3 linked regions of the Oryzias latipes genome follow. The protein of the gene in region 1 interacts with the protein of each later gene in a pairwise test. Links are inferred from orthologs where the notes say so. Each region holds a gene or a part of one and is shown on either strand. Other genes may lie near its edges.

Region 1 (4,632 bases):
TTCACTGAACTTTCAGTCTGACAGCAATCTTGAAAATAAGAAAAGACAAGATAATGTTTTCCAAACGGAAACACGGGTAGCTGGTTAGGCAACCTACCTACCTCTGATCAGCTTACACTGCTGCTCAGTCATGGAGGCCGCCCCGCCGTGTTGCCTGTCCCTGTGGATTATCTGATTTAACACCACTGCTTAGAGAGGGAGACGGTGAGCGCCAGGCACCACACTGACATCATGTCCTGCTCACTGTGTCACTGACCCACTGCACCCTCAATACACTGCTGTTACTCGCTCACGAGATGTGTTGAGATCTGACTCAGTGGAATCTTAGGACACAACTTATGTTTAATTAAAGTCTATTTCTTTTGTTGATAAAATATCAAGAAATAACAAAGGCAAGAACTTAAAACCAAGCTTCCAATCCTTAAAAAGGGGTTTAGAAAATTGATGGATGATTGGTTGAAGATAATTGAATCGGTTAGTTCGAAAGGGACCCAAGTCCACAATTTTTCAAAATACAGATATTACATGTTCTATAGACTTCAAAGGAAAAGCTATCTGATTATGTGCAAAAAAGTTCCAAGTCCGTTGTAATGTATTGACAATGCTTTGACATTTAAAATGCGTTTAGTGCAAAATTCCTTGACTTGGGCCTCTCTTGCATGGGTTTTGCTTCATCCCATAGATGGCAGCACTAGTTATCCAATATGGCAGAGCCCCTGTTTAATTCAAGAAGGGCCCAAGTCCAGAGACTTTAGTCTTAATTTCCTCTGAAGTTATAAAAGTGAGGTGCTTCATATTATAGCATTTGTAAGCTATGAACTGGTGCCAAATCTGGGTAAAGTATTAATCATTTGGTGTAGCCTCCCTTTAAGCTATGCGATTAAAATCATTTCCTGGAAAAACAAACCTCTTGGACTTGGGCCCCTTTTGAATGTTATCCTGATCACAGGAAAGATGGAGCCTACCCAGCCAATGAAAGGTGAAGCCTTTTGACCTCCTCTGCATTACCCAGACTTCTGATTGGCACATGGAAACACTGGAGAGTGCCCCCGTCCCATGTGGTTCCCCAAGTTTTAGAACCAGGGAGTCCAACGCAGTCTCCCATTCAAGGACTGGGAACCCTTCCAAATGTTCAAGATCAGTCAAGATTGGTTGCGTCCATCTATGCTTTTTGTTAAAGAAAAAATATGCACATCTTCAAATTGGGATGAAAGGAAATTTATTCTGCCTGCAACAAACCTTATAGCTACAACTGCAATAATGACATAAAGAATTGTGGGTAAGAAAGAGAGCAGACAGAGAAAACCCTGTACCCACGCATACAGGGGGTTGAACCGTAAAGGTGATGGAGGTTTTTAGGTTGTCCGGGCCCGTGGAGAGTTGCAGATAGGAGCAGGGGAGTGCAGATTTTTCACCTCCTCTGAGGGTTGTATGGCCACTTCAAGGGACAGTGTGAAAATGGAACGTACCATTTTTGTGCATGTGGTAAGTGTATCACATCTGAGTTACAGTATACACACTTATGACGAACAGGTAATGCTGGCGTTCAGTGCCCTAGTCATCGGTAAGGTGCACATACTAACTCCATACTGAACCATTTGTGTGCCCAGTTTTCACCTGCCCACCTTTGAGGGCAGTTGTGATCAATACCTAATGAAGGTGAACAAAAAATTACCATTGCATTTGGAACAGTCTCCTGCATGGCAGCATACCTCAATACATGGATCAGGGTCACCCATGTCATCGACAACCCTTCTGGAATAGTACTGGAGATGCTCTGTCTCACATGTTTAAAAATGTATGTGCTCAAAACTTTATTAATAAAGCTGCCATTGGTTACTTACATATTGTTTACAAGAGGCGGAAAAAACATTCAGTGGGATTTTTATCAAAATAGTACATGCCCGAGGGGACAAAGCGCATTGTGATACTGTTGTATCCTAGTCAACTAAATCTATTAGCAGTTTGCTGTCTATTTATGTTTTTTGCTTACCTAAGCCCATAGGATCAAACCAAAACAAAAACATTAAAGAGGCCTAGCATATTTTGCCAATGGAATGTTGCGTTAACTGTTGGGACAACAGTGTCATGATTTGAGTTTGTTGTCTTGTTTTTCGTCCTTGTTCTTGTTCTGTCTGGTTTGTTTCTGTTTCCTGTTTTATTTTGAAAGTTCTCCTGTCTTGTCTGTTTTCTTGAGTTTTACTTCCTTTGGTCCCCATCTGCCCTGATCGTGTTCACCTGTGTCTTGTCTGCCCTGTCTGTACTTAAGTCATGTCTTTGCCTTCCTCCTGTACTGGTTCATTAGTCTTGTCATGGTGTTTCATGTCATGCTGTCTCTTGCCACATTCCACGTTTCATGTTCCTCGCCACGTCAAGTAAGCTTTGTTTGTTCAGAAATCCTGCTCTGCAGCGCTTTGTGTTTGGTTTTTGTTTATTAAATCCATTAGACTCTGATCCTCGTGCCTCCGCCTCTGCTACTGGGTCCTACCGGCTCTCGAGCCACCCCGCACCATGACAAACAGTCCAAAAACACAATTTGAAACCATTTGTCAATGGAATACAGATGCAACTTAGGAGGTCCTGATCAATATGAACAGTTGGTTTTGCATCCTGGTAGCTTTTTTTCACATGAGGATTAACTGAATCCCCATCCGTTTTCCATCAGCTTGCAGCTAGCCAATGCAAGTCTTCTAAATTCAAGAAGAATCAACGTAGAAATATCTGTTGGGGAGTTCGTTTTGAACTGAACAGAGTAAAAACAAGGGGTCACGTTACGTACCCGCGGCAATGAACTTCTTCTTGATCCCCGTCTTTTCCTCTACCTTTCCCAGAAAATCGGTCACCATGTTCTTCTCATTGAGAAACTTTTCGGCCCGTTCTTTGATGGAAGAAAAAATGTCCAGCAAGCCCATGGTGCTCGAAGAGCTGCTAAAGCGCAAAATGGGTCAGGGAAAGGCAGCCTGCAGGGAAGAGGAAGTTATAACCGCCGTTAATCCCCTGACAGCAGCAATCTGCTTTGATGAGGAGGAGGAGGGGGAGGAGCACAGGAGCAGGTGGATAATGATATGGCTGTGACCGTCATGAAACCCAAAAGTCATTTCCAACATATATATGTATATCGGTTTATCTTAACAAAGAGTCATGATCCGCACAACGGTTGTGAATTGGAAGCAGGTCACTGGGGTGTTTAAGAATTTCTTTGAGTTAAGGCCGTGTCACACAGCCATTACGTACATTTTGCGCACATTGTACAGATGAAAATTGGTCATACGTGAATACACGTGGAAAGAGTGAGAATCAGAATTGAACCACTTTGAAACCACAAAAGTACAAATAAATCATGCAAAGAACATGTAAATCAACGAAAAAGGCAAATATGGCCCAAAATCCATGCATTAATTTACTTAATTTGAACGTCATATGTGTGCTCTATACGCAATATAAAAGTTATACTTCAGTGGTACGTACGTAAAAAGTCCATAGACAAAAACTATGCACAATTGCGTAAGATTTACGCTTGAATTGTGTACAAGCCTCGTAAAATACACAAAACCTGCTTAATTTTCATCTAACCAAAAATTCTGATCAGCATAAAACCAAATTCAGGTAAAGGCCAATCGCCCAACATCCTCGACGAACATCTGCGCACAGCGACACATGACAGGAAACACTAGCGAATTACGTATTTCGCGCATTCATCACGAAAGACAGAAATTGAATACATGGAAAATGTGTAAAATGTACATAGTAGCTGTGTGACACGGCCCTTAGGCCCACAACACAGAGAAAGTTCAACAGTGTGTTCCAGTTCCAAGGAACACGCACCTCTTGGTCTGCACCCATATACCCCTCTTCTACTGCAAAAAGCACTCATCTCTGATTACTTACAAGACTCACAATAAGTTAGGAATATTTTTATTTGCATGAGTATTTTTCCTATTTGGCCTGATTTTATTGAAAAGTTCACTTTGATATCACCAATAATAAATGATAAGAAACACTGGCTATGTCTCAATTCCCTCTCTAATACCTAACTACTAAAAACTATATAGTGCGGGACTATGTAGTGCCCTGGATTTTAAGAGTAATTCGTACACCATGCTCACTGCTTTTTTTTGTTTTACAGCAAATATAACATCATGGATTTCACAAAGTAAAAATCTCATCAATATGAGCATTTTGCGACGACCATTCATGAATTCCCTGTGTTCTAAAGATGATAACGTTGATATTTTATTTTAAAAAATACATTTAAATAAATTTTCTTTGTAAAAGTTGTTCAAACGCAGTGTGTTGTGGTTTGCATTCGCCATTCAAGTAAGCATCAATGCACAATGGTATTTCGCAGAGACCTCTGGGAGATTTCTGGGGCACTTGATTTTGGAATTGTAGTTTCGCACAGCACCTCGAAATGGCAAAGCTTGATATCTCAATACCGATAAATTTGCGATTCATTGTGCAGACCTAATGGACACCAACCACTCAGTATAGGTCAAATGTTGTTGATGTCCATTTCTAATGTGGAGCACTTCTGAATATCAAAATTAAGATAATCTTTGTCTTTTGAACAATCCAACCTACTGTCTATGATCTAAAAAAATGTTTCCTTGCTTTCACTAGCTACATACCATA
Region 2 (4,632 bases), on another chromosome or scaffold:
CACAGGGATGTGAAATATTGCAGTTCTGATTAAAAAAACTGTATGGGACCTCAAATTAACAAATAGGTTATTTTTCTTTGTAAAACTTCTTGAATAAAATTAAAACACTGATCTAAAAAATCATATTAATAAGACTATTAGTTTTGAATTAAAGCAGCGAGCCGTGTTGTATGACCCATAAGTGATACCCGTCCCCATTTCCCCGGCTTTATTTTCCCCCTCTGCCTCTGCCACCCCGGTCAGAGCTGCATGTTGTTGTTTTTTAATGGCAGCATCTCTGTTGGTTAAATCTCCATAAAAAAAAACCATTTTATCTTTTGGTCGCCTGGCGGTGACGAACCGGTCTGTGTCATTTTAAGTGACAGCACATTTTGGGATTTCCTTGGCAACTGAGGTCCACATTCCTAATCTGTTTTGTATCATCTGCTGTATCATTTTGTTCAACTTGAGCCAGTATTACATTCATGTATTCATTTCTTTTACAATATTTGGGTGGCAAATGTGTGGGCAACAGGAGAACGCCACTTATGGAGGCTCCCCGTGCTAGCACCTCTGAAAATCGACTAAATTCTTCCAGTAGCTTTCCATTGATGCTCAAGGAGTTAGGAGGCGATAAGATGGGAAGTTTAAAATTGTAGCTGATACTAAAGGTGAATTTTTTAATGGAAAATAAATAAATCTAATTTAATGACATTTTGAAGTTTTGGAGCTAATGTTGACTCCGTTTTTTAAAGTAGATTAATGCAAAACGGCGACAAAAAACCCAAATATTTAGCAAAGCTGAAGCCTAACAAATAAAAGCTTGGATTTGGGAAGCTAGAAGATAATCAGGACTTCCTGTTTATGCTTATTTTCATTCATAAAAGCATTCAAGTTTTGCCCAGAGGTGTTGTGTTTTTGACCTTGTGTGTAGCAGGGATCAAAAACCGCCAAGTCGTTATCAGACAGAGGCGGGGGGCCCTCTTCCTTTGGAGATGGGACTTTCTCCTCTGCCTCTGAGTCAAACAGGGAATCGAACTCCTCGTGGGTCCCGTCTGGTTGGTGGCGTCTTGGTGAAGATATTTCAGGAGAAGCAGCTGGACAAACGGACAGAAGATGAGAACAAAAATCTACCAAAAATAGTAAATAAATAACGTTTAAAGTCTCGTACCTCGCTCTTCCAGATCACTAAGTTCCTCTTCTCCTCTGGGAGTTCCTCCGACCTCAACGTACGCCTCGGCTGCCACCTCCGGCTCCCCCAACTCTAAGCTCAAGTTGGTGCCCAAATCTTGGGGTAAAGTGGGGGCCTCCCTGCCCTCTTCCTCTTCAGCCGGGTCACAATCCGAAGCCCTCCGCTTGGGCAGGGGAATTAGAGGGGGAGGCAGAGCCCCGGCCGAGAACAGAGGGGAGGGATCAAGGGGCCTTGTGACTTCACCCCCCTGAGGGAAGAAAAATGAAGGAAGAGAAATGAGGAGGAGGAGGGGGATATGAGACAGTGAAAGTGTGAATCTGTGTCCTCACTCTGAAGAAGTCCTTGAGCTGCGGGCTGTTGTAGAGCGCAGGGATGCTGGTGGTGAACTGAAGCATGGCCTCGGCTGCCTTCCTCCTCTCCTCAATCACAGCCTCATCAAACCTCCCTGAAGTAGAAATCACAAGCTACACTTTACTACTGCATGTTGAAAAAAGTAAAAGAATATTCAATTATTACAACTTCTGGGTATTTACATCTACGGCAAAGAAGCATGGCTGTTGTTGCCGTGGCAAAGCAGACAAATAGTAACAACAGCCTTTTTTTATACATCTATTTTTTTTGTTCTTTTCCTGATATGTGATATTTGATTTAAAAAACATATTTAAAAAAAAAAAGGCATTGCCAGTTTTGCAGCTCGATTTCTTTAACTGAGTTTAATTCTGCCTCATAGTTTTCATAATGGCCCCAAAATGCAACCAAATAATTCCAGCTGAATGTTTAAAGACCCACTCTAATGGAAATTTTGTTTTTTGTGTGTTTTTTAACACATTCTTCTGGCATTTTTAAGATGATGGAGGACATATATAAGGAAAGTTAAGCTTTTCTGACTACGTATTCATTCAAATTGTTGTAAATAAGGAGTAGATAAAAAAAAACGCCATTTGAAAAATGTATTCATATACTTCGTTACAAAACAGCATAATTAAAAGATCACTGAGAAATCTTTCAAAACAGATCAAAAGAGGTGGGACTTTAAATTAGTTCTTAAGGCTACTGTGGACAGGATCCTCTGTGTTGCAACCATGCATTCAAAAATAAGCCACACCATCAAGAGTAATGTAGAAAGCGAAAGGCAGAACAGGAACAACAGAAGTAAAAATGAAAAAGAGGTGATTACAGCTCCCAGTGATGCTGAAATATCAGATATTTTTATTAACGCCCATCATGAATGATGTGATCGTTGCAGAACGTACCAAAAACCTGCGCACGTGGAAAAGGGGGGAACTCCTCCTGCCGTCTAAACAGGTTCCTGTGCGTGAACGCCAGCTCTCCGTGGAGCTTCTTCAGCTCCGAGAACCTCCTCCACACCGCCACCTCCTTCACATCCTCTGGATGAATTTTAGATACAAACTGCAAACCCCAGAAAAGATGGTTCAATCGTTATTACATGCTCAAAAATCATTTTTTCGTAAAGAGCTGGAGTTTTTAATACAATCGGTGGCGGGTAAAAAAAGGCCGATTTTTTTTTTCAAAGTCAAATTTTTAATTAGACTGATTTTCAAAGCATACTTGTCGAGCACAGGAGGATTAGTGTGGTCATGGGGAGATCATGAAAAGAATCACAAGTTTCCTCCCCCCTGGCTTAATCGCACAGAAGAAGTTCATTGTGCTTCATCTCTACAGAAAAAAACTGACTGAAAAGAAGTCAAACTTGCTTTTAACTGTGTCAACACTTTTTTGATTCCACACACTTGCAAATAAAAACAACGTATGTAGCCTAATTACCTTACTTAGGAAAGAAAGAAAGAAAGAAATAGCCAAAGGACATATCTTTAAAAAATAAAACTTTGACAGCTAAAGATGAGCATGATTGACACTGACCCTGGCTGTCACTTTGTACTCCGTGTGACCCTTCTCGTGGGTCCGAGGCTCGCTAACAGCGAAGAACCGATAATATTCTTCTTTTGGTTTCTTTGACATGTTTTGTCTGAGTTCTAGCCAAAAAAAAAGTATCAGACAAGCAGATGAACGAAGCAAAACTATCCACAAAAACACTGCGCTGAACGGCTCTGTTGTGATTCTTCAGCACCTCCTCTTTCACAACTTCCTGGTTGGTGACGTTCGCGCATGCGTGATTACGTACGTAAAACGCGACACATATCTTTTATTTAATTTTTGAAAGCTTAACATTTATTCTATGTATTTTGTGTTTTTTAAATATTTGGAAACACGTTTTTACCATTGATAACCCACGATATTTCTTATTTGCTATGTTTATATTAAATGTACTATTCTAATAAATTTACTTTTTTTCTTCTCCGAGTAATCCTTTTCGCTGAGAGGTTTTAATTTTTCTCATAAATATGAAATAATTTCACTGTATTTTATGCTGACTTTTCAACTTAACCATGGTTTAATTTACTTAAAAAGAACATCACTTTCGTGAACTCAACATGTATAGTGAGGGTTACAATCCTGTAGGGGATGGTATTGAGCCAGAAATTTAAAAATACTGAAAAAAGCTAAAGGAAGATGAAAAATGCACGTTGTTTTCGTATGTTTGTGTAAGTAAGCCTGTGTTCTTGTTTTTAGGCAACGACAGGAAAACAAACGTGTCCTGCATCAAGGAAGCTGCTCGAATATGCAAAGAAATACGCCTTGGACATACCCAGACAATAGATAAAAGAAAGCGGTCTAGACTAAACTTAAACTACAAGGCCGAGGAAGTTCCCCCCATGGTTTTCTTTTCCTGCCCAATGCTATATAAGCTTCTTTTTATTCTCCTGGAACAATCAGGACTTTGTACCATCAACTTTGTATTCTTAACATGGCCTGATCAGCCTTAAAGTATGTTGTTTCATTGATCCAGATGTTTTAAATATACCAAAATTAAAAAAATATATACTTTTCTTCTAACTGTTGATTATTTAAATTTTTAGTTAACCGTATCTAATGACTTAAGTCTCCATCAGGCGCTGTGTTGTGAGGGTTAAACAAAAACCAAAAGCTTAGCAGAGGATGGTTTCGATCCATCGACCTCTGGGTTATGGGCCCAGCACGCTTCCGCTGCGCCACTCTGCTACACATTCCTCCAAAGCAAACACTTACTATTTGTACAATGGTCACACACGGACTGTTGAAGTCTGGGTGTATCATGCCTGGTCTTTTGGTGCAGGAAATTGTTGACCAGCTTTTCTTGTTTCTTTAAGACCTCTGCCAAATACAAAGACATCAAGAAATTGGTTATGCTTCATGTGAAAGAAAATGTGGGTCATTTTTACAGAACGCTTAAAAATACAAGCTTACATAAATTGGAATTTTATTCTTAATTGGAGATCTAAAAAAATAATTGTTATATAAGGATATGATGAAAGAGGCCCTTCGTGAATTTAAGTGAAAGTGCTTCACATAAAGTCTTATCAGACGCACCGCACCCTGCAAGTCATCAAAAAACTCAAAGT
Region 3 (4,632 bases), on another chromosome or scaffold:
ACATACTTTGACTAAATTTGAGCTCCTCTAAATTCAAGCCAGTTAATTAAAAAAATAATTATAACAATCTGCCATCCATAGAAAACAAAGCAATATATTCAGAGGTCAATGAGAAATTGCTCCCTTTGAACCAACTTCTAGTGGTCATTTTAGGAACTGCAACGTTTGATACTTTTGCATCTCCTTCAAACCCAGGAACAGACAGTTGGGGGTCGAGTAATACCGATAACAAAGATGGCATGCAAACTATGAGGCTGAGATTATTAGTTATTACACCACAAATGTAAATATTATTTTTTACCCAATATGACAATAAAAACAAGATGCGTTTGATTCCATCTACAGTTGACCCTCAGCTCTTCTGCGCTGTTGCTTGTATGTTACAAAGGCATGAATACAAGTCATTGATGTGCACAAAGCATTTAACCTTTTTATAATTAACCCCATCTATTCTTTCCAGTTTGTGAGTCATCTGTATGTTTAGTTTTTGCCCTAAACTAAGAAATATATCACCCTGAAAACCGCCTACACTTTAGCCACCCACGCCCTTAATGCTCTGCTCAACCCACCCCTTTCTATTCGAGCTGCAGTTGAGCATGCATGCACACCCAACTAGTTACAACATATAAAAAGCATACATTTCGCCTGATGATGTGGGTTCTTTTCAAAGCTGTTGAAACATATGTGTGTGCGTTTTAATCACTAGCTCTTCCACGCCACGTCGGTCTCAAATTACATCCAGTGGCCTGGGTGAGGTAGAGCCGACTACACCTTGATCCTGCAGACTAAGCTACTCTTGCTCTTTATCACTGAAGCTCCCTTCAACAGCGCCTCTGCGGATCAATTTGATTACAGATGCCATGCTGATCCATTTACAAATGTGGGACAGCTGCTGCCAAATGGCTGCACCCAGTCCCATTTGGCACGAGTCAAACAGGAAGTCAAACGCGTTCACTGTCTCCCTATTGCCCACTTTCTCCAACTCTACCACTTCCTAGGAGTAGACACAACACACACACTTTCTGAGCACATGATAGACACACACTCGGTTCCCCTTCCCCCACGTCTAGTGGAAATACTTTTAACAGCTGCATTCAGAATGAAGTTCCACTACAACAGTACGGTCACAGGGGAGCCAGGCTGCTACACACACAATCCAACCAAGCACCACCACTACCCCCGCTTCCCTCCCTCCCCAGGCTGTGGATGTAATAAGGGCGTCCGGTTCTGAAGCAGGGGCCCTCGGCTCACACAGGAAATGGAATAGGCAGATAAGGCACTTTCTGCTGGCCAGATGATGAAGAGTCAGCAGGAAGAGTAGGCACAGAGAAGACACTGCAGACATGTCAGAGTACACCTGAAGAAAACAAATGGCCTTCAACTCTATGAACTCTTCCCACAGCTGCTGACAGGCGTTCACAGGAGCCATTTTAATCAATTAAACTATTCTAGCAATAATGCAACAATTTTAAAAAAATAAATATGGATCTTTACACCAGGAACCTGTCAAATTTATCTGGAAGCATAAACTCGCTGAGGATTACAGACAAAAACTAGCTTTTGGCCAATTCTGACTTTTCTAACCATAATCGGGCATAGTTTTGAAGTTGCACTGTCCAATTTCAATAAATGTATTATTAGCTATGAGAGAGCCAACAGTATCAGGCAAGAAAATGGTTTGGAAAGCTCATAAACTGGTTTGAAACGTGTCGACTCATTAATTTCCCATAATTCCCTTTCATTTGGAATGAAAACAACGACCAAATTACCAGTTAAATTTAATTGTTTCTCGGCTTTTGCTTATTCTAATAAGTTATTGAGAACGTTTTCATGTTCACTAAAACGAAAACGTGCAATTTTTAAATATTTTTTCAAAAATCGACGGTTTTCTCATCGACTCAAACAGAGAAAAGTTGACAGAACTGGTCTTTTAGTTCATAAATAACTGCTCTGTAACCCGTTTGATGACATTAAATAATACTTTTTAGCATAGTATAGAATAGATTTGGGTGAAAAAGTTACCGAATTTAATGCGTCACAGCGCTTTAACCACCATAACTCTACAGGCTTTCTTCAAGTTTCAAGTGTAAACATTTGAGTGACCCAATCGCGAAGATGTGAGTCCGCGGTAACCCTTCCTCTATAATGATTTCCGGTCATGTCACGCTCTGTAACTCAGATGAAACTGTCCTCATCCGCGGCGCTGGCTCCACACCTCGTTCCAGACGCTGGACAGGAACCGTCAGTGATGCAACTCAAGCGATAATGCACCAAAAATCGATACAATATTTCCGCTTCGTTCTCGGGACTTTTTTTTCCCCTCCCAGCAACAAAACCACTATTGCGCACCACGTATATCGCGGCTCGGACGCAAAGTCGGCACGGAGAAAAAAAATAAAAAATACATCCCTCCAGGTTAATCTCCCACGAAAACATTGCGGAGGCCTACCTGTTCCTCCTCCGCCGATAAAGTAGCTGCCATGATTCCCGTCAGCTCTCCGATGACCTTTTTCTACAGCCTCGTCCTCCTTCTCATAAAGTGGGAGATGTCTGTGCGCGCGTGCTCCTCGTGTCACAGTCGAGGCTTAGGGCTCCTTCACAGCCGACGACATCTGAGTGGAACCTCTTCCCCCTCCGAAAATGTGTTGCTGCTATCCACGCAGGCCAATTAGCATGAATCAGCATCCAAACTAGAGATGAGAGCCGCTGATGTGTCAGATTTCACCCGAAGAGGAGGAGGGAAAAAAACAACAAAGAACACAGGGCTGAAAGCTGGGGGTTTGCTTCAACTCGGGGGATAATAACTGGCTTTGAACCGATGAAACACGTCTCACCCACCTAGCCTGACAGAGATCAGAGGGCTGCAGCCACCCGCTGGCTGCTCCATACCACGAATCGCAAGGTTTCGCCTCTGAACGTCGCCTTTATGCTGCGCGAGAGGCTTTCTACTCCTCTCTTTCCGCATGTTGCTGTACCCCCTGGCGGTTCCGAACGGAACTTTACAAGTGACCCTGCCTCCATTCATAAAAATGGAAAAAGACGGAACAAAAAGAACTGTTGGTGGCTGGCAGCTACAAACACAAACAAATATCTGAACACATTTGAAATAAGTATAAAAACCATTCATTTTAGGTTTGTTAACAGACAGAAACTAAACATGATTACCCTCAACCTGTAAAGGGCCTCCATCATGCTTTTCCTAAACCTTTCAGAGAGTCCCTGTGGACGCCGCCCAGTCGGACAAACTGTGGCCTGTCTGTCAGGTAGTCAGTGATCCAGGAGACGGTGGACGCACCGGCACCCATCAGCAGCAGCTTCTCACCCAGTAAAGAAGGCTGGGTGGTGTTAAAGGCACTGGAGAAATCAAAGAAGGTGATTCTCACCATGCCTCCACCACCATCCAGTTGTGAGTGAGTGAGCTGCAGCAGATGGATGACAGCATCATCCACCCCCAGACGGGGTCGGTAGGCAAACTGCAGGAGGGTCCAGAGAAGAGCTCACCAACGGTCTCACCTGAGCCAAAACCAGTCTCTCCAGCACCTTCATCACATGAGACGTGAGGGCAACTGGACGGACATCACTGGGGTGAGATGGAGATGACTTCTTGGGTACAGGGACCAGGCAGGAGGTGTTCCAGAGGAGCGGCTCCCTCTCCAGTCTGAGGCTCAGGTTGAAGAGATGCTGGAGAACCGCAGACAGATGGTGGGCACAGGTCCTCAGTGTTCGAGAGCTGATGCCATTCGGGCCGGCTGCTTTGTGCTGGTTAAGTTTCTCCAGCTGCTTCTTCACCTGGCAGGCTGTTACAGAGAAACAGGGAGGGAGGGGGGTGGTGTGATGAACTGTGGGCCCAATAGGTTTGGTGTAGCAGAGGGGGGTGAAAGGTGAGGAGGTGTGGGGGGGTTCATGAGGGTGAGAGGTGATATGAGAGAGGGAGCAGGAGCAGGGGGGAGGTGTGGTGGAGGCAGGGGGGGGGGGGGGGGCTGAGGCATTCAGAGAGCTAAACCTAATGAAAAAGGTGAGCGTTTATGAGTGTTTAGCGACGATTATTTATGAGTCCACTGTCATCTGAAGATAAAAATGTTGATGGTTCATTTAAAAAAGAAATTAAAATGAATTTTTTTGCAAAAATTGTTCCAACGCAATGCATTGTGGTCTACATTTTCCAATCTAGTAAGCATCGACGCACACTGGTTTTTTGAAGAGACTTCTGGGAAATTTCTAGGGCACTGGATTTAGGAATTGTAGATTTGGACGGCACTACAAAACGGCAAACGGTGTTTGCCAAACACGCCATATAGTCCACTATGTAGTGAGTAGTGAAGGAATTCACTGGACAGAGCGGTTGTGATGTCACCCGTAGACAATGGTTTACATCCGGCTCCAGCACAATGAAGCTTATTCAGTCCCTAATTTTCCACGATACGTCCGCCGCCATTTGGAGCCAGTCAGCTTGAGTCACGTTTCCAGGGCAACTACCGTTGCTAATCAGGAGTGAACTTGGCCTCGGGAGAATCTGTCAATCAAACATTCAGGCTGGGGGGGCCAGCGGGCTTCAGGCTTTTTCTTTCACAGCTCTATCCGGTATCTGAAAGACTTAATGTCATAGAAATCTGGTCACGGAGCCCAAAATGC

Evidence for each region.
Region 2: the proteins of receptor expression-enhancing protein 6 (region 1) and snx15 interact in binary tests that used the Homo sapiens proteins (3 or more experiments, as listed by UniProt). The two-hybrid records come from large-scale screens. The link is inferred for Oryzias latipes from reciprocal best matches to the Homo sapiens genes REEP6 and SNX15.
Region 3: the proteins of receptor expression-enhancing protein 6 (region 1) and ptpn9 interact in binary tests that used the Homo sapiens proteins (3 or more experiments, as listed by UniProt). The two-hybrid records come from large-scale screens. The link is inferred for Oryzias latipes from reciprocal best matches to the Homo sapiens genes REEP6 and PTPN9.

Annotation. Positions count from the first base shown.
Region 1 is NC_019862.2:22,294,155-22,298,786, reverse strand, and holds the start of receptor expression-enhancing protein 6, read right to left. Parts: upstream 2,997-4,632; 5' UTR 2,913-2,996; coding exon 2,780-2,912; intron 221-2,779; exon of another isoform or gene 133-220; coding exon of another isoform or gene 102-132; intron 1-101. UniProt on the Homo sapiens protein: Required for correct function and survival of retinal photoreceptors. Required for retinal development.
Region 2 is NC_019876.2:12,559,866-12,564,497, reverse strand, and holds the start of snx15 (sorting nexin-15), read right to left. Parts: upstream 3,298-4,632; 5' UTR 3,152-3,297; coding exon 3,053-3,151; intron 2,582-3,052; coding exon 2,425-2,581; intron 1,617-2,424; coding exon 1,501-1,616; intron 1,419-1,500; coding exon 1,151-1,418; intron 1,077-1,150; coding exon 903-1,076; intron 1-902. UniProt on the Homo sapiens protein: May be involved in several stages of intracellular trafficking. Overexpression of SNX15 disrupts the normal trafficking of proteins from the plasma membrane to recycling endosomes or the TGN.
Region 3 is NC_019864.2:10,371,062-10,375,693, reverse strand, and holds the start of ptpn9 (tyrosine-protein phosphatase non-receptor type 9), read right to left. Parts: upstream 2,969-4,632; 5' UTR 2,839-2,968; intron 2,766-2,838; exon of another isoform or gene 2,691-2,765; 5' UTR 2,483-2,690; coding exon 2,450-2,482; intron 2,118-2,449; exon of another isoform or gene 2,023-2,117; intron 1-2,022. UniProt on the Homo sapiens protein: Protein-tyrosine phosphatase that could participate in the transfer of hydrophobic ligands or in functions of the Golgi apparatus.